Cricetulus griseus: one gene and its partners. Each later gene encodes a partner of the first gene's protein in a complex. Links are inferred from orthologs where the notes say so. Each region holds a gene or a part of one and is shown in the gene's direction. Other genes may lie near its edges.

The links.
Region 2: the proteins of Pxn (region 1) and Fermt2 are in contact, whole or in part, in an NMR structure (PDB 6U4N), measured with the Homo sapiens proteins. The link is inferred for Cricetulus griseus from reciprocal best matches to the Homo sapiens genes PXN and FERMT2. Residues at the interface, in NP_001074324.1 of Homo sapiens: Ala562, Phe563, Cys564, Leu565, Gln576, Lys579, Tyr581, Lys588, Leu589, Phe590; in NP_006823.1 of Homo sapiens: Gly42, Gly43, Met45, Leu46, Glu50, Lys55, Lys56, Trp58, Ser59, Leu73, Thr75.
Region 3: the proteins of Pxn (region 1) and Sorbs1 are in contact, whole or in part, in a crystal structure (PDB 2O9V), measured with the Homo sapiens proteins. The link is inferred for Cricetulus griseus from reciprocal best matches to the Homo sapiens genes PXN and SORBS1. Residues at the interface, in NP_001074324.1 of Homo sapiens: Val45, Pro46, Pro47, Pro48, Val49, Pro50, Pro51, Pro52, Pro53, Ser54; in NP_001030126.2 of Homo sapiens: Phe876, Phe878, Val900, Asp901, Asn903, Trp904, Ile917, Pro919, Thr921, Tyr922.
Region 4: the proteins of Pxn (region 1) and Parvb are in contact, whole or in part, in a crystal structure (PDB 4EDN), measured with the Homo sapiens proteins. The link is inferred for Cricetulus griseus from reciprocal best matches to the Homo sapiens genes PXN and PARVB. Residues at the interface, in NP_001074324.1 of Homo sapiens: Asp3, Leu4, Leu7, Leu8, Asp10, Leu11, Glu12, Ser13; in NP_037459.2 of Homo sapiens: Ala241, Phe242, Thr244, Leu245, Ala249, Lys252, Val255, Val256, Ser259, Leu260, Tyr354, Phe357, Thr358, Lys361.

The regions. Positions count from the first base shown.
Region 1 is NC_048597.1:95,637,951-95,642,957, forward strand, and holds the start of Pxn (paxillin), read left to right. Parts: upstream 1-1,826; 5' UTR 1,827-1,841; coding exon 1,842-1,881; intron 1,882-1,985; coding exon 1,986-2,212; intron 2,213-2,463; coding exon 2,464-2,573; intron 2,574-2,908; coding exon 2,909-3,045; intron 3,046-3,133; coding exon 3,134-3,335; intron 3,336-4,314; coding exon 4,315-4,450; intron 4,451-5,007. UniProt on the Homo sapiens protein: Cytoskeletal protein involved in actin-membrane attachment at sites of cell adhesion to the extracellular matrix (focal adhesion). Recruits other proteins such as TRIM15 to focal adhesion.
Region 2 is NW_023276807.1:201,453,042-201,456,816, reverse strand, and holds the end of Fermt2 (fermitin family homolog 2), read left to right. Parts: intron 1-60; coding exon 61-202; intron 203-1,637; coding exon 1,638-1,811; 3' UTR 1,812-2,888; downstream 2,889-3,775. UniProt on the Homo sapiens protein: Scaffolding protein that enhances integrin activation mediated by TLN1 and/or TLN2, but activates integrins only weakly by itself. Binds to membranes enriched in phosphoinositides.
Region 3 is NC_048596.1:21,069,595-21,074,650, forward strand, and holds the start of Sorbs1 (sorbin and SH3 domain-containing protein 1), read left to right. Parts: upstream 1-1,714; 5' UTR 1,715-1,843; intron 1,844-5,056. UniProt on the Homo sapiens protein: Plays a role in tyrosine phosphorylation of CBL by linking CBL to the insulin receptor. Required for insulin-stimulated glucose transport. Involved in formation of actin stress fibers and focal adhesions.
Region 4 is NC_048595.1:381,091,092-381,096,306, forward strand, and holds the start of Parvb (beta-parvin), read left to right. Parts: upstream 1-2,079; 5' UTR 2,080-2,122; coding exon 2,123-2,237; intron 2,238-5,215. UniProt on the Homo sapiens protein: Adapter protein that plays a role in integrin signaling via ILK and in activation of the GTPases CDC42 and RAC1 by guanine exchange factors, such as ARHGEF6. Is involved in the reorganization of the actin cytoskeleton and formation of lamellipodia.

The DNA.
Region 1 (5,007 bases):
AACCAGAATCTGGCCCATAAACCAATAAAGCCAGACACAGCATCGCACCATGGGTGCAGGGCATGGGGACTTGTTGAGCGGGCAGTGGAACTCCTGATTTACCGGCTAGCAGGGAAGGCCATTGTCTTCCTTGGAGTGTTTGGAACTGGAGGGAACTGTGTTATCCCTTAGCCATCTTTGGCAAGGGGGACCTCAGCCCAGCCCTCTATGGCAGTGTTGTTGGGTTGGGGGATGGCAAGTTCCACAGGTGAAGCTCTTGGCCCTGATAGGTGTACAGGACTGCTCTTGCCAGCCCCATCAGGGCTGTATTTGTGGCCTGCTCTGTGGAGCTGGCCCTGCAGGCTCAGTCTGTGATGGAGGAAGAGGAGTTCCGCCTACTTTGGGCTGGGCCCAGAGGAAATGGACAGCAGGTGTGGCCCTAGAGACTCTTTGGGATTGGCTTTGGACATTAGTTCCTTTTATGCCCTTACCTAGACTCATAGAGACTCCCTGTAGTTCCGGTTTGTTGGAGGCAGGAAGTCAGAGCTCCTCCGGGGGACCTGGACGGGGAGGGGCTGCAGGAGCAGAATTTCTTCAGCAGCAAGAGACTGGGACCCAGGGTCCCGGCCTTCGAACAACTTCTCGTCCAGCCATACAGCAGGAGCCAGGGGTAGGTGCACCCACCCTAGTGACAGGTAGTCAGGGCTGCTAGGAGAGGGCATGACCTCAAAGGCCCTTGCTTCCCTTTTCTCTGCATGGGAATGGAGCTACAGACAGGGCCGCCAGCAAGGATCAGAGCTCGAGCCCCTGGTGTGTAGGAAGTTGAGTTCCTTAGATTTGGTATCTTGTCTCTTTGAAATCACAGCAGTCCCTCCTGCAGGCTTGGTGTCTGGGACTTAAGGAGTCTGAGGAGTCTTGTGATCCTGCCCTTTCCTGCTTTATCACTCAGGGCAGGTACTGCTAGCCTCCAAGCCTACTTTCCTCAGCTCCAAAGACAACAGTTTGGCCTTTTAGGTCACCAGAAGGGGCACTTGTTTGTGACCACGCGTGTAGATGCCTTTAGTGGTTCCTAGTAGATGGTGATCAGTGCAGTGCAGCCACTGCCCCTCGATTGCCACTCACGAGGGCCCAGGAAGCAGGTCACTAGATGCTGAGAGTGAGCAGGTCAGTGAGCAGTGCAGGAAGGAGGGAGGGTGTGGTGAGCGGGGCTGGACTGTACCCAGGCCGTGGCACTGTGGAAGGTCCCAAGATGGGAGGCTATGGCAGGAAGGTCAGTACCTCCAACTCCTGTCCCTCTAGCTGTCCCTTCCTGTCGAGAACCTGAGCCTCTTGTCGGCTACTGCATGCCAGGGTAATGGCAGCTTGTGTTGGAGATCTGACCCACCCCCCATTAAAAGCGGAGTCATGGGGCCCTGGAGTTTCTAGGGCTGGGCTGCTTGCCAGGCTTTGGCAGAGCAGTCTTACTCCCAGCTTGTTGAGGGGGTGGCTGCTGCCGAGCTGGCTTCATGCCAGCCCCCTACCTCTCTGCATACCTTACCCACAGCCTGGGGCCTCAGGAGGAGCTTAGAGCATGGAATTCCGCTCCTACCTGGAGCACAGGTGCTCCCTAAGGCCACCCCCTGTCTTTAGACTTGGGCTGAGGCTCTTAGAAGTCCAGAGAGGACCTGGCTCTATCTACCCAGCCCCTCCCTGTGCTGTGACATGACGTAGGACTCCTCCCACCCAGCTCTCCCAGTTGCCCTCAGGAATCAGAGTTCTAAGCAGGCATTTCTTGCTTACACCAGGCAGCAGCAGCCTAGCCTTGTCAGGAGGAATGCAGAGCCAGGCATCTAACCCCTGAGGGAGGAGAGGACGGGCAGCCGATGTGGAAACTCCAGGTCTCTTCTCCCATCGAAGCAGCAGGTGTCTGCCAGACAGGATCTCTTCAAGTTCAGGAAGGCAGGACACTGCCCCTGGGAAGTGCCCAATAGGGCCAACTCTCACCAGTGGACGTCTTCTCTTTGCAGACGCCCTGCTGGCAGACTTGGAATCAACCACCTCCCACATCTCCAAACGGCCAGTGTTCTTGTCAGAGGAGCCCCCTTACTCCTACCCAACTGGAAACCATACCTATCAGGAGACTGCAGTGCCACCCCCTGTTCCACCACCCCCATCCAGCGAGGCCCTCAATGGCACGATCCTTGACCCCTTAGACCAGTGGCAGCCTAGTGGTTCCCGATACACTCACCAGCAGGTAAGGTGGGGTCTGCGGAGCCCTTGGGGGCTGAGTGGTAAAAGGAGCTGATCTGCCGAGGAGATGGAAAGCCATTGGGGATGGACTGGGATTCTGGGCTCCTAGTCATACACTGCCCTTCTCACCCACCATGTGAGGGGCCAGTGACCAAGTATTAATCACCTGACTAGCTGTGGAAATTCCCTGGTGAGACAAGCTATGAGCAGGAGCTGCCTGGGGGTGGCCTGAGTAAAGTACTCTTTCTTCTGCAGCCTCCATCCCCGTCACCTGTGTACAGCTCCAGTGCTAAGACTTCCGGTGCCTCTAACCCTCAGGACAGCGCTCTCTGTTCCCGAGCAGGCGAGGAAGAACACGTCTACAGGTACAGAACCAGCACTGTACATCAGCCCGGCTTCTGGGAAACCCTAGGGCCACTGGTGGAACTATAGAAGGCCTGAAGGCCCCTGCCAGGCCCTGTGCTTGTCAGCTGGCTCCCCTCTGCCCTGTCACTGCCTTCTCTGTAGAGACAGCATCTCTGTAGTTGAGAAACTGAAGCAAAATTTCCTTCCTCCTTGCCTTACCACATTCCTTCCCTACCCTCCGCCTTCTTGCTGAAGAGACTTGGTAACATTCCACCCCTCCGGCCTTGAGAATCTGGGGCCTGCCACATCCAGTGCAGGGCAGAAGAGTCTTACTTGTTTCCTCTCCTTCTCAAAGCTTCCCCAACAAACACAAGTCCGCAGAGCCTTCACCTACCATGATGAGCTCCTCCCTGGGCAACAACCTCTCGGAGCTTGACCGTCTGTTACTAGAACTGAACGCTGTGCAGCACAACCCTTCAGGCTTCCCTGCAGGTGTGAGCGGGTCTCTGGACTACTCATGGGCCTTTGGGTTCCTAGAGGACTCAGGGATGAGCAACCATTTTGTTTCCTTATCTCCAAGATGAAGCCAACTCAAGCCCCCCACTACCTGGAGCCTTGAGCCCCCTTTATGGTGTCCCAGAGAGTAACAGTACCCTGGGAGGAAAAACTGGGCCCCTGATGAAAGAGAAGCCAAAGCGAAATGGAGGCCGGGGCCTGGAGGATGTGCGGCCCAGCGTGGAGAGCCTCTTGGATGAACTGGAGAGTTCTGTGCCTAGCCCTGTGTGAGTATCCATTAGGGTCTCCCCAGGCTGGGGAAGCTCTTGAAGTCTCACCCCGACTGTCTTCGGGCTGTGTGGTACCTGTCCATCAGCCCTGAAGTCACCTGCTCCCTACAGTGTCTGCTACTTGCCAGGTCCTGGGGATATGGCATGACCCGGCAAAGCCAGGGTTAGCACAGGTTTGCTGATGTGGCACAGGGTTTAGATCATGGCTGTGCCAGCTACAACAGTCTTACTCTCGCTCTATAAGTTGGAATAAGCCAAAGTAGGGCATGGTGACACATGGTTATAATCCCAGCATTTGGGAGGTCGAGGTTTGGAGATCTCAGGTGCAAGACCAATCTGGGCTATATAAGTGAGTTCCAAGACAGTCTGAACTGCATGAGACCATAGCGCAAAAATACGACATAAACTATAAAATAGGTAAAGCAGACAGTAATAATGGAGATGACCCTACATAGTAAATAGAGTGAGACCAAATAGTATATAATAGTATATAATGTTGGGGGGGGTGGGGGCTGGCTCGTAGCTGTGGCAATCACAGCTATTAGGGAAGCCCCTAATAGCGTCAGGTCTTGTTTATTTTGAGGTAGGGTTTCACTCTATATCCCAGACTCTTCTGAAACTCACTATGTAGTAGCCCTCCTGCCTCAGCTTCCCAAGTGCTGGGTTACAGGGATGAGCCACCATGTGTCAGTGTTTATTGATGTGTAATAATCTCGCATGTGTATAGTGTTGAGAGGCTTTGTAGTGGTGCCCCTGTCTTCCTGTAGGGGTACTGTGAACCACCTACCTTCTCTGGTCACCTCACCTCAGCACTGTTTCTTAGCTAGTCACTCTTTCCCAGGGATGGGGATCCCTAAGGTGCTGCTGGGTTCTGGTGGCCTTCCCTGGAGTTGGAGGTGTCGTTGATCTGGAGCCCCCCCCGTGGAGCCTGGGGCTGACCCTTGGGCTCCTTACTGACTCCATGCCTGCCCCACAGCCCGGCTATCACTGTGAACCAAGGTGAGATGAGCAGCCCACAGCGAGTCACCTCCAGCCAGCAGCAGACACGCATCTCGGCCTCCTCTGCTACCAGGGAGCTGGACGAGCTCATGGCTTCACTGTCGGATTTTAAGGTGCCCTCTGATTCTCTCTGTCTTCCCTGCTCCCATCCATTACCCTTCCTCAGTATGACTAGCAGCTCCTCGGGGCCCTGGAGGAGAGAGGCTAGGTAATATTCAAGACTGAGCTCCTTAGCAGCTTGTGAAGGCAGAGAAACCAGAGATGCCTTTAGCTGGAACATTCCTCCCTCTCCTGGTGATCCCAGCCACCAGGTCAAGGGGACCAGGAGCTGGAACACAGTGACAATGAGCCCTGTGTTGATAGCTGCTCTTGGTGGGGGAGGGTATGTCCTGCTGGGCCCCGTGGGACCAGGACCTCATGCCTGAGAGGTCACTTGTCCCAGAGCTGTATCTCCCACGCTATCTGTCCTCAGAGCACCCGCTTTCTTTCTGCTGTGGGGATGGGGTTTTCCAGCATTTCCAGCCAGCTTCCTTCTACCCTCACTTTCTTCTTTAAGGGCCTGAGTTCCCAGAGTCCTGTCTGTGGGAAACTTAACCTGCCAAGCACCTGGCCAGTCGGCATGAGGCGTCCCACCTTCCCCTCCCAGGCTCTCCAGGCCTGCCTGTCCACA
Region 2 (3,775 bases), on another chromosome or scaffold:
TCTTAGGGTTGGGGAAAACCTCCCTCCCCTATTCTGAGGGGTTTTTCTTCAAAATTACAGATTCCAAGGCGGCAAGAGAGAAGAACTTATTGGAATTGCATACAACAGATTGATTCGGATGGACGCCAGCACGGGAGACGCCATCAAAACATGGCGGTTCAGCAACATGAAGCAGTGGAATGTCAACTGGGAGATCAAGATGGTAAACTAGCAATGGGTTTCTGCCGCTGAGGGTGCACTCATAGTTCAGTGGATCTGGATTTGTTCCCCCACACTTCAGAAAAACAAAAAGGGGGAGTCTTAAATCCTGGAGATTGGGTTATGTGAGGTAATTTGGCTGTGATACTTTATACCCCCATTAACTGCTAGGGCGCATTCGGCTTGTGTGGCTAGTGAGTTCTGGTGCCCCCCTTCACCTCTCATACTTGTTAGTGGGAGAATACAGCCAGCCTTCTTTCTGCCAAGGGTATACGAGCAGCTGTGCTCCCATGCTCTACAACCTTCAAACAAGCTTTCAAAGGCCACCATTAGGTAGGAAGCCAAGCTTCCAAGACTCCAGCCTCATCCAAATGAGGCTCTGCACAGGGTAGTCTCTGTTTGTTTACAAATAAATTGGAGTGGAGAGATGGCTCAGCAGCTAAGAGCACTTGCTGTTCTTCCAAAGGACCTAGGTTCAATTCCCAGCACCCACAACCAGTTCCAGGGGATCTGACACCCTCATCTGGCCTCATAGACATGTATGCAGACAAAACAGAAAAAAAAAAAAAAAAAAAAAGCCCTAGGGATAGCACTTGCCTAGCATTCCTGAAGCCCTGGTTGGTGGAGCATCTTGGAGGGAACAGAGTGCCAGGTCACTTCCACTGCATAGCAACTTAGAGGCCAGCATGGGCTATGGAAGACTGTCTTAAAATATGAATAGTAAAAAAAAAAAAGCCCAATCCTTAGGATTCAAGTGTAGACCATGATGCTATCTCTCCATAATAACTAAATCCCTTATAGCAGCAGAGTTTGTGTCCCATGCCTCTTTGGGCCAGGCATGACACTAAATGTTTGCATTTATCCTCATCTCAAAGCCTAACATGGTTATTATCCATGCCCACACTTAGTGATTGGCTCAGTGTTCAAACAGTTTGTTTTTGGTCTCTGAATCCTGGTGCATGTACCACTATGTAGCCACTATGGTGCCCTTTTTCTTTTTCACATGGACATCATATGAAACAGTCTTACCTGGTAGAGGTGTTTGGCTTGGCAGATTGGATATGTTGTATCAGTTGCTAACAGAAAAACTCATCTTTCTGAAATATTTAAACATGATACCTAAAGGTTAAATACTGGAGCAAATGTTAAATAAAACACAGGAAGTAGATTTTCTCCCAGGACCTGAAGAAAGACATTCTCAATAATTGCATTACCATAGACCACTTGGGAACTTAATGGCTTAAACCCCTTGAGAACTTGCAAACTAAAGGAATGGGGGAAGGGATGATACAGTTTTCAGTTTTCTTACTGTTAGTTACACAGACATTATTGCTGTTCTTGGATAATTATCTGGGGAGTGGCAGCAATTCAGTGGACACCTACAAAATGAACTTACAGAAGCTCCTGGGGACACTGATGATTCTTTGTCTCTGTTCCAGGTCACTGTGGAGTTTGCAGACGAGGTCCGGTTGTCCTTCATCTGTACTGAAGTAGACTGTAAGGTGGTCCATGAGTTCATTGGTGGTTACATATTTCTCTCGACTCGTGCAAAAGACCAGAATGAGAGTTTAGATGAGGAGATGTTTTACAAACTCACCAGTGGTTGGGTGTGAATAGGAAAACTGTGTAATGAAACTCCACAGCCATAACAATATTTAACTTTAAAGCTATTGTTTCCTATATGCTGCTTAATAAAGTAAGCTTGAAATTTATCATTTTATCATGAAAACTCTTTGCCTTATCAGACCGGTTAATATGTGCACTAACAAGCACGGTTATTAATCTGCTACCGTGATGCAGTATGTGGACTGTGGAATACCGAACATTCCTCAGGCCATGAATTGAAATCTGAAGTAATGGGTGAATCAGGAGCCAGCTGTCGCTGATTGACACTAGCCAAACTAAGAAACAAGCCATCTACTACCAAGTTATCCAGGGTGTAACCTATATGAAGTCTATTTATCATGTATAATGCATGTGTTTAATGTATGTTTCATTTGATGCCCTCTCTTAAAATACCCTACTTCTGGTAGCCAATCAGTCCCCTCTCCTAATATAAAATCGGGTCTGCAGTAGATGCTTGGTATTCGATGATGTCATTGACCTTGAAGGAAGTGCTGTTGATCTGTTGTTGTGCTTGACTGGGTTTGTCCTTGAATAAGCATGTTGTACATTGTTTTGTGTTTATTTTTACACCATACTGTATTACAACACTCTTAGTATTCACCAGCATATTCACTATCTGCCTAAAATATGCAACCTTTGTGTTACAATATGAAGTAAAGTTCTATGAAGTATGCATTTTGTGTAACTAATGTACAAACACAAATTTTATAAAATTGTACAGTTTTTTAAAAACTATTCACAACTAGGAAATGGCTTAAATGTAGCATCGTTGCATTAATTAAATGCTTTTAAAGTGTATAATTAATATGCAGTTTCAGTATCTGCTAAATTAAGAATGCCTTCATGATGGTCATGACTTGCCGTGATGCCCTTAGCTCTGCCCCTGGACTGGCTGTGCTCTGGTCTGTTGCGCTGTTACAGTCTGCATTGGTGCTAGTTAGAAAACTCCTAGCTCACAAGCCCAGAGGGCGCCAGAAGGGGTAGACTTACCAGTATTGTCCAATAATCCATGACTTAAAGACTGTATAAATGCATTTTATTTTAAATAAAAGCAAAACCTTTTATTTAACATGTTCTTTTTGTGCTTCTGATCTCTCAACACTACCTACCTCTGTGTTGTTAGAATGGCCACCGGTGCTAGACCAGGTCCCAGATGAAGTCTTTGTCTCTAAGGTGCATTCTTTGCTGTTCTCCATTTAGACTCCAAACTTTGAATTGTGTACCTTCCCTTGACCCTGTCAGCCTATTGCTTTTTCTCTAATACACATGAAGCAAAAACCTAAACCTAATGTGGTTCTCCACCTTCCTAATGCTGTGACGCTTTAATATAGTTCCTCGTGTCATGCTGACCCCCAACCATAAAACTATTTTTATTGTTACCCCATAACTATAATTTTGCTACTGTTATGAATCATAATGGAAATATCTGTGTTTTCTGATGGTCTTTAGTGACCCCTGTGAAAAGATCATTTGACCCCTAAAGGGTTAAGACCCATGGGTCAGAACTAACTGCTGCTCTTGACATTTCACCCCATCGTCCGTACTATCCCCAGCCCTGCACCTACTCTTCGCCTGTCTGAATTTTCCTGCCTTTAGAAATTTTACTGTTTGTAGTTTTTCTTCCTAATACTTCTAAGTTGCCTTGGAGCCAAGTGTGCTCTTTGCCTTCTCTGAGCTGCCAGCTGTATTTAATGGATGCCAGGGCAGAGCTTGACTGGGGCCCAGGTTCCTATCCCTCTGTCCAGTCATGAGGAAAGCAAGCCACCTGAGCCCCAGAGAAGCCTATGGGCCGCAGCCTCAAACAGGAAAGGCACTTTGCAAGAACACTGGCTAGGATGCCCAGAAACCTACCTTTGAGTTTGTGTTCCCTGTGATTAAAGTTCACAAAGGCACAGGAACAGGGACTAGCCGAGCTCCATCCAAATCTTGTTCTCAGTCCACAGGCTGGTGG
Region 3 (5,056 bases), on another chromosome or scaffold:
ACAGCTAGGAGTCTTCAATAAAATAAACAAACAACACAGTTCAGGACAGCAGGTGCTCAGCAAGGACTTGTCATTGTTCCCTGATCTAAGAACTTTCTCAGATGGGGTTCTCCAGGCCTGTGCAGTCATCCAGGCCTATTGTTACCCCACCACACAGCCTGCTAACTGGGAACATGCTTGGGCTCAAGATTCTTGCCAAAGGCAGCTGAAAAGAATTAGTTGTGCTCAGCCTGAAGGGTGACTATCCTGCTGTTGGATAGTTTTGTCAACTTGACACAAGCTAAAGTCATCTGTGAGGAGGGAACATCAATTAAGAAAATACCTCCTTAATATGGGGCTGCAGGCAAGCCTGTAGGGCATTTTCTTAGTGATTGATGAGACAGGGCCCAGCTCATTGTGGGTGGCACCAACCCTGGGCTGGTGGTCCTAGTTTCTATAAGAAAGCAGGCTGAGCAAGCCATGAGGAGCAAGCACCCCTCCATGGCCTCTGCAACAGCTCCTGCCTCCAGGTTTCTGCCGTGCTTGAGTTCCTGTCCTGAGTTACTTCAATGATGGACTATGATTTGGAAATGTAACCCAAATAAACCCATTCCCTCCCAAGTTGCTTTGGTCATGGTGTTTTTGTCTAGCAATAGAAACCCTAACTAGGACACCTACCTTGAGGGATGTCCTTGGGATGTGGGAAGCTGGTCGTGGAAGAAGCAAGTTCCAGACTAGCTTTTGCTGGCTCATTGAACCTGCACAAACTCTCCTCCCTGTTGCCCTTTCTGCTATCCTGTAGGGAACTGGAGAAGGTTGTAAGACAGTAAGCATAAGGGACAAAATTGCATACCCTGCCTGTCCTTGGTTATTACTCTCTCCAGCTCATTTACTAATAATCTGGTTTACTTGTTCCTCCCTCAAATGCTAGCTTCTTAAAGGGAGGGTCCTTTTTAGTAACCCCAGGCTCAATGCATTCATGTCCATTGAACCTTGAATATAGGTTGTATGAATGAAAAATATCAGCATCAATCTATCAGTGGTGCACCCTATAATCCCACCACTCTAGAGGCTGAGTCAGGAAGACGGCCTGGGGTGTGTATGTCGGGGCATACCTGTAATCTCAGCATTTAGGAGGTGGAGGTAGGAAGATGAGAAGTTCAGGGTCATCCTTGGCTGCACAGTGAGTTTGAGACCACCTGAGAAAACATGAGCGTCTGTCTCAAAAAAGAAAGGGGGGGGGGACTAGTAATAGGGTCTCTCTCGCAAGGCTGTGAAGATCAAATGGAAAAAATAGGAAGCATCCTCAGGCACCTGTGTGGTAAGACTATAACCAGAGTGGCAGGGTCGTGAGCAAGATTTGATGTTTTACAGATCGTCAAAAGGGTACGGGGTTAAATAAATTTATAGATAGCCAGGACACACTGGCTGCTGCTGGTTTATGCTTACGGTTCCTTTCAAGCTCCCTGTGGGCAAACCCTTAGAGAGACCAGAGGACTGGAGTCTAGAGGCATTAGCGCCCAGGCCAGGGCAGAAAGGGTTAGCGGGCGCAGGGGCGCGCGCGCGCGCGCGTGATCGCCCCGCTCACAGGGACGCCTGGCGGCTTGGCGGCGGGCTCTTCCTCGCCTCCTCATTGGCGCACACGCCCCTTCCTGTCACGGCCGGCCAGGCCCCGCCCCCTGGGCGCTGCCGGAGTGGACGGTTCCAGGGCATGCTAATGAGGGGCTGGCCGCCGCCGCCCATTGGCCGGCCGCGGAGTGTCGGTGAAGTCAGCTCCGAGTAGCAGAAAAACAGAGCGGGGTTGACTGCAGCGTGGAGCGCGAGCCGGGCTGGACGCGCGCAGCCCTCGCCGGGGACCCGCGAGGTAAGCGGGTGGCGGCCGCGCTCTCCGGAGGGGGCTCCCGGGCGGGCGCAGCGGGCCCCCGGAGCGGCGCCTTTGTTCCTTGCGCGGAGGTGGTGCTTTTAAAGGGCCAGCGGTTGGAGGGACCTGGGGGGGCCTTCTCCCCCAGAGCATCCCCGGGTGGCCGCGGGGGACCTCTGCCGATCCGTGCCTCCCGGCTGCTCCGTGTGTCTCCCCACTCAGTCCCTTCAAGGAAAGTTGCTAGGACGCAGGGAGCTTGAGGGATTCCAGGTTTCTTTATGCCTTTTCGCTTTGGGTAGGTGGAGGTAATTGCGATCATGGCCTCTGATAGGAGGGAATGTCCTCCCGCCTCAGGCTGGCTGCAGTGTGGGTGGCTGGAGAAGGGAGAGCCCGGGTGGGTTTTGCCTGGAAAGTGAAACTACCGAGGGTCTCCTCTGCAGCGGCCAGAGGTGGAAGGGGGGAGCCAGCGGCCGGGATGGAGGCATCTCAGGTGTGTTCATTCATCAGCACCCTCCCTCCCCTTCCATCCCCAAAGCAGAGGGTGGCTGGATGGGCGCAGGGACTACATGCTGCTGGCCCGTACCCCGCCCGCACCCGCTTGTGGTGGTGGGTGTGTGTCCGGGGGTACCTTCGCTCACTGCCCAGGCCCCTTCATCCTTCAGTAGATGACAGCATCTCTCTCGCTAGGCAGCCCATCGCCAAAGGGACGGAAAGCTACTCCTTTCTCCTATGTCCCGGGCAGTCTTTCCCTGCTTTCCAGCGTGGTTTCCCTGATAAGCGGCAATGACATTCAAGATAGAAGGCTGAAGAGGCTTAAAGTCATTATGTTCCTTTGAAGGGCGATGTGCTGTCGAATTCTGTATCCTGGTTGTCGTACTAGGGCTTTGAAATTCATCAGTGCATGCTTTTTTTTTTTCCGGGCAGACAGAATTTATTATGCATTGCCACATAAAAGCAGAAGGGATCCCTCTGAGCGGGCTCATTTCATCCGGTCCGAGGGTTTTCCCAGCATGTTCTGGATGAGCCTTTGGATTTTTGTTTGAATCGCTGAGCTCTGGGATGCCCCTGTTGTCACAGGGCCAACCTACTGAAATTGCTCAAATTGATTTCACTGTCAGTAGGTAGGAGGTTCATCTAGAGACATCATAGAACCTGCCTGGCATGTTAGGCCTCCAACTGCATCTTCCCACCCTTCAGCCCTCCACACTGGTGTGCCCTTTTTCTTCCTAGGCGAAGGCCAGAGATGGCTTGTCTGGCCACATGTTTCTTTGATTTTTGAATGCCTGTTTAGATTTGAGTGTGTGTTTTTGGTTGGAAAGATAGCTTGTTGGTGACTGAAGGATGGATTAAAAGTGGGCTGGACAGCAAAAGGGGACAGCAGTCTCAATGACAGAAGACACATTTGGAGATTCTCTAGCTTCAGCCTTTGGTGAGTGAGATGTCTACAGAGTGAGGTGTGTGTGTGTTGGCTGTGAGGGGGAGGGGTGGAGGAGGAAGATACTGCCAACAGTTTTCTGCCCCACCCTCATGCTACTGCCTTAAATAACTCCATGCCAGCCCTGCCCTGAGGTCTCCTTCTAGAGCCTGAGGGGAAAGGGTGGTCTGTCTGTTGGGCCACTCCTGCTCTGGGCACATTTGGAGGTTAGGGAAGGGGTAGTTCTTAGGGGGTCAAAGATGGTATATTTTTCAGTTTGAGGACCTGTGATAACTGTCTGGTGACTTCTCTGCAGGCAATTAGTAGCTGAAATGAAGTGCTTTTGACCCTGTGGGGTGAAGGGCCACCACCCTCTTCTGTACAGCCCCCCCCCCACTTTGTTGGCCCTGTCTTTCTCTTACCAGCTTTTATTTGCTATAGTGATAGAGTTTCTCTGTAAACTTTTTGAAGAGATTGGGAATATTGGGATAGAGTTGGAATTATGGCAAAGGAGAAAAGAAAATTGCTTCTTCCTGGCAGAACAAAGACTCGCTCGGCTCTTCTTTTTCTTCTCCAAAATAGAGTGGGGTGCCCACAGCAGAGTGTGGACCGATAGGGTCCAGGGAAGAGAGCTTTGTCTGTATGGCACTGGTATTGTCCTGGTCACTCCAGTTCCACTCTCGCTGGGCCCTTCTCTGGGTGTGGAAGCAGAGGGTGGCCACTGGCGGTTTAGGATTTAACTAGCCTGTTTGTGAAGGAGGAATGGATGATCCGAGAAAAAAAAAAAAGGAAAAAAAGAAAAAAAAAAAAAGAGCTTGGGCCAGAAGTGGCATGGCCAGCTTTGGTTCTGATCAGTCGTGTCTGGGCCTTGGGTTTGTGCTTTATTCTATGTTATTGTCAGTGAAGTGGGAGGCTTTAGAGCAATGACTTTCTAGGTTCCCAGTAGCACTACTTACTTTAAATTCACAAGTACATTTTGTGATGGCGAATTTAGATTCTTTCCTGTTTGCTAGCTGGATGTTAAATTCTCAGTATTTAGCAACAGGACTGAAAAAGCACTTTCCCACTCGGGCTTTGGTTGGATTCAGACTACCTTTTTTTTTGATTGGTGCGATTCATGTGGTTTTAGCATAGTAAATAATTCAGAATGATCCAGAGTGAGAGACACAGACCTCAGAGTTGGTGTGTGGGGGAGGGGAGGATGGGTGACAGATTGCCGAGGAGAGGCCGTTTCTGTAATTCATTCTCTCCTCATCTATGTTTTATTTATGCTTACACAGGTGAACATTTCAATATTGGGAGCATGGGCAGGGGACCTTCCTCTATGATTGACCCATTCAGTGGCCATCACTGAGGAGTGAGTGTTGGGAGGTTTGGCCATTTGTCTGAGGTCAGGATGCAGATGGGGGTGTGAATCTGGGTCTTATGTTCTAGAGTGAAACTCTCCCTTCTGTGAGAGGAGCCTAAGAAGGGAGGGAGAAAAGTGTAGAAAAGAGTAGAGCCAGCATTCCTGTGTCCTTGGAGTGGAGAGTGAAATAAGGAGCAGAGCCCCTTCGCTTAGATATGTGTGTGTGTGTGTGTGTGTGTGTGTGTGTGTGTGTGTGTGTGTGTGTATGTATGGGTGTATGTGTATGTGCAAGGGTCTGTATGCATGCATATGTATGTATGTGTTTGTATATGTGTGTGTGTGTGTGTGTGTGTGTGTGTGTGTGTGTGCGCGTGCGCATGCACACACGTGCGTGTGCTCATGTGTGTGGTATTGGGGAGGTGTTATATGCACTGATCTTGCCTTAGATTCTCCC
Region 4 (5,215 bases), on another chromosome or scaffold:
ACTTAGGGTTTATTTTGGCTTGCAGTTTGAAGGTGGAGCAGGCATGGTGACGGGAGTGTGAGGCAGCTGTTCAGATTGTACCCACAGTCAGGAAGCAGAGAGAGACCAATGCTGGGACCCCATTTCCTTTCTCCTTTGTATTGGTCAGGGTTCTCTAGAGGAGTGGTTCTCAACCTTCCTAATGCTGTGTGACCCTTTAATACAGCTCCTCATGTTGTGGTGACCCGAACCATAAACTTATTTTCATTGCTACTCCATAATTTTGCTACTGTTATGAATCAAAATGTAAATATCCACGTTTTCTGATGGTTTTAGTTGACCCCTGCAAAAGGGTCATTTGACCCCCTAAAGGGGTCAAGAGGCCACTATTGCTCTAGAGGAACAAAACTGATTGTGTGTGTGTGTGTGTGTGTGTGTGTGTGTGTGTTAGAGTGGCTTATAGGCTGTGGTCCAGCTAGTCTAATAATGGCTTTCTACTAGTGGAAAGTATAAGAATCTAGTACTTGTTCAGTGCATGAGGCTCAATGTCTCATCTGGTTTTTCAGTATATGCCAGAATCCTGAAGAAGTGAGCTTCTAATGCCAGTGAAGGAATAGATTCGCCAGCAAGAGCAAGGGGAGGCAGGAAAAGAGAAAAAAAAAAAAAAACAAAAAAACTTCCTTCTTCCATGTCCCTTATATAGGCTGCCAGAAGATCTGGATTTAGGGTGGTTCTTCCCACCTCAAGTGATGTAATTAAGGAAAAATCCCTCACAGGTGTGCCCAGTCAGGTAGGTTTTAGCTAATCTCAGATGTGGTCAAGTTGATAACCAAGAACATCCAGCAGACCTTTTTATTCAGTTTAGAGTCCAGCTCCTGGGATGGTGCTGCCCAGAGTAGGCAATCACATGGGAGTTTGCAGTTCTGAGATTTCCTTGATCCTGGGGTCTCAGAGTCTCCCCAGTGCTTAAGAGAGAAGCAGCTTCAGCACTGAGCAGTAGGCCAGGGAAAGCCACATGGCCTTTGGTGCCAGGAGGGTGGCTCTGTAGAGAAAGGAGCTGCCAGGACCTGGCGTAGGCAAGAGATGCCTGTCCCTGCCTGAGTTTTCTTTATCTCCTAGTGAAAGGAGGTGATTCTTTTCCTTGTCTCTGGAAACCATGCCTCCCTAACAGTCTTGTTCCCTGTTTTATCCTAAATCCTGGCCCTCTGTTCCTTTTCTTCCTACTGGAGTCACCACTGCCCCTGTTCCACCCTTGGCTTGTAACTCCATAGGTAGTGGGCATCCCATTCCCCATGACAAATTCCAAGAGGGGGCAGCTTGGTTACCCTTTCTGCCAATGTGAATTGTAAATATTTCCTGCCCTGAACTGAAATCGCTTGCCAGAGGGAATGAGGCTGTGAACCTGCACAAAGGGAGAGGGAACCATCCCCACCCCACCCCACCCCACCCCACCCCACCCTTATAATTAGGTGCAGTTTTATCCCAGGCTAGGTCCTGATAGTTCCTATCTCTGCTGAGCCATGCACCCACCCGCCTCCTACAGCCACAGGCCATTTGGCTCTCCCTCTGCGTATGCCTGCCTCTGATGCTGCTTCTACCCCCAACCTCTCTAGAAACCCTTTCACTTCCCTCCTAGTAAGGCTTCCTGCCTGGCCTCATCCCTGTTAATCATCTTCTATTCCCAGGTCAGCAACAATCAATTTTGCACAACTCAAACCTAGCCATGTTAGGCCAGCATCCATCCCTAGGCCTGCGTTCTTCCTCCAGGTGCCCTCCTGATTCTTCCTGCTGGGAAGCCTTTGGCTGAGCTTGCCTTGAAGGAAGGGTGTGTGAGGCCACTGTCCCACAAAGGCACCCACTATACCCCAAGCATCGACCTAATAAGGGATGTTAGGGATCCTGGCAGAGACTCAACAGCTGACTTTACATATTTATGGGACTAATTGATTCTGGGCTTCCAGCACGCTGAGGCCGCACAAAAGGGGGCGGTGGTGCCTGGCACCACACGCAGGGTCCCACTGCGTTGCGGGTGGGGAGCTCAGCCGCAACACCAGACCTCGAGGTCAGTAGGCAGGGGCGGGGAAGCCGCGGCCGCGCCCTCCTGGCCACTCCCCGGCCGGCGGTGGGTGGCGCGCACTCGCATATGTCCTCCGCGCCACCGCGATCGCCCACCCCGAGGGCCCCCAAGATGAAGAAGGACGAGTCTTTCCTGGGCAAGTTGGGTGGCACGCTGGCGAGGAAGAAGAGGACCAGGGAAGGTGAGTGCTCCCCCGTGTCCTCTTGGCGCCAGCCGGGTGCCAGCGATGTCCCCTGGCTGTCTGCTCCCTGTCCTCTTCGGCGGCTCCAATGAGCCCTCCCTCCGCGCCCAGGCTGCACTGCCCGCCACCTTTGGATCAGGCCGGTCCTTGTCCCTGCGACCTTTGCAGTGCTGGCCCGGTGCCCAGGACGTGCGTCCTGCTCTGGACACAGGCTGAGCAGGGTATGGTTCTCGTGCCTACCCTTGTCGTATGACACTCTCGTCACAGTGATTGGACACATGCGTGGTGGGGAGGGCCGGCTGCTGACTGTTTGATGTCGGCACGCGTGGCTTGGTCCCTAAGCTGGGGAGTCAGTGAAAAGGCACAAGTGAAAGGAAGCCTGGAACCAGGGCCACGAGCCCCCCCACCCCCACCCCAGGCCCCCAATCGTGCACGTTGCACAGGAAAGTAATTTTAAAACGACACCCCTTTACTTTTTAAACTTTAATAAAACAGAATTTCAAGGGATGTAACTTCTGCTCCTGGGCCAGTGCCTCAGTCATACTGCAGTTCCTAGTCCTTCTCTTGCAGAGACATTCCTGACTTTTCTATTGTTTTGGCCTGGAGGCTCCTGCCCTTGGGCTGAGGTTCCTGGCGCTCACAAGGAATGGGAGGGGCTTGCTAGGGAGAAAGGGCAGGTAGAGAGAAGCCCCAGAGCCCGGCTTCCTGGGGATTAGTTGGCTAGGGATTATCTGATAGGCTGCGCAGAGGGTCTCCTCCAGCCACTGGGGCAAGCTTACTCCTAGAAAGTCTTCCTGGACCTTAAGGGACAAACTAGTCCCAGGAAGTTGACTGATAATCACCCAGTGCTCCCGAAGGACAGCAGTGATATATTTAGTGTTAAAGGAACTTCAAGCCCTAAATTATGGGCAGACTCACTCTGGCCTTTCAAGGCATCTTGAAAGGCAGGGCATGTAGGGAAATGCAGAGCTTGTCTGAAGTGTGATACTACCTAAACTTTGATAGAACCCATGAAGATCCTGTGGCCCCCCCCACACCCTGCCCAGACTTGCCTTCCCAGACCTTCAACCCCATAATGCCCTTTACCAAACTAGATAGTCCAGTTCCCTGCGGGCAGGGAACTGGTCTCCCCGCCCCCTCTCAAATCTTCTGTTGCAGACCCTCCAGGTTGGCTTGCATTGAATTCATCGCCATCAGTGTAGTGTAGTCATTGTGATCCTGCCTACAAGTCGGTTCTCTTCCTCTTACATGCTATGACAAGGGTGGACCTGCATTCATTCCATCATTGGGTTTTGTTTTTGTTTTTGAATTGGGGTTATGCTATGCCACCACCTCTGGACTCAAAGTCCTGGATTTAAGTGATCCTCCTGCCTCAGCCTCCCCTGTATTGGGAACTGTGGGTGTGTTGCTACCGGATTGTGGCTTATCATCTATGTGAATCCTCAGGGTCCTGGGAGTGGATGCCATAATGTGGAAGCCGATGGGAAGTCCCATGATCCTAAGCTGTAATTGTCAGAGGGCTGGGGAATGGGGGTGGTGATGTTGAGGATGAAACCCAAGAAAGAAAATCTTTCATAGCCGGCCGTTGGTGGTACATGCCTTTAATCCCAGCATTCGGGAGGCCGAGACAGGCGGATCTCTGTGAGTTCGAGGCCAGCCTGGTCTCCGAGTGCCAGGACAGGCTCCAGAGCTACACAGAGAAACCCTATCTCGAAAAACCAAAAAAAACAAAAACAAAAACAAACAAACAAACAAAAAAACAACAAAAAGAAATCTTTCATAGAAAAACACGTGTAAGAGTGTGAATGGTTACAGTTTCTGTGTGTTCCATGTGTGTACACATGCATGTACAGGCTAGAAGTCATGCTGGGTCTCTTCCTCAACGTTCCTCATTATCTGCTATCTATCTATCTATCTATCTATCTATCTATCTATCTATCTATCTATCCTGGCTGGCCTGGAACTTGTATAGCCAGACTGGCTTGGAACTTAAGAGACCAACCTGGTTTTTTGTTTTTTTTTTAAAGATTTATTTATTTATTATGTATACAACATTCTGCTTCCATGTATATCTGCACACCAGATGAGGGCACCAGATCTCATAAGGGATGGTTGTAAGCCACCATGTCGTTGTTGGGAATTGAACTCAGGACCTCTGGAAGAGCAGTCGGTGCTCTTAACCTCTGAGCCATCTCTCTAGCCCCGAGACCAACCTGGTTTTGCCTTCTGTGTGCTGCTATTAAATAAAGGCATGTGCCACTCCACTGGGTTCCATCTTGTTTTTTGAGACAAGTCTTTTACTGACCCAGGGGCTCTTTGACTTGGACCAACAATCGCCAAGGTCCTCTGTCTTCACCTCCCCCGATTAGAGATTATAGGTGAGCAACACTTACCTGGCTTTTGACTTTTTAAAAATTATCAGTGCTGGGGATGAAACTCTGGTCCTCATGCAAGCAAACACTTTACCAACAGAGCTGCCTTCCCTGCCTTTCACAGCTTTTCTAGGTGGTACTTAGACTACTGGAACATGAGGGATGCACAGCAAAGTAATGAGCTGGCCTCGGTTTCCAATCCTAAGTCCTTCTCTGCTTTGCTTGTATGGGAGCATGTGTATCCAGAAGACAGGGGCCCAGTCTGGCCCAGTTTAAATATACCCAGAACCCCAGCAGCACCTCCCTCTGTCTGCTTGCTTCTGCTGGTGTAGCCATCCTGGTGAGTTAGCTGGGCCCTCTGCCTCGGTTCCCAGCGTTGGAATAAGTACCTCTCACCCCTATAACCAGAAAGTCACAAACCCTAATTGGTCTCTGAGGCAGGAGTGGAGGAAAAGATCAGCCTTGGAAGGGCTGAGTGGCTTCCATGTGGTCCTCTGGGAAGTGGAGAAGGGATGGAGGGGCAAATGTGAAGACTGTGTAACGAGGTCTTGAATAATTGAGCGTTGAGAGCTGCCAGTATTTCTGCAGACCTGTTGCCTTGGCAAC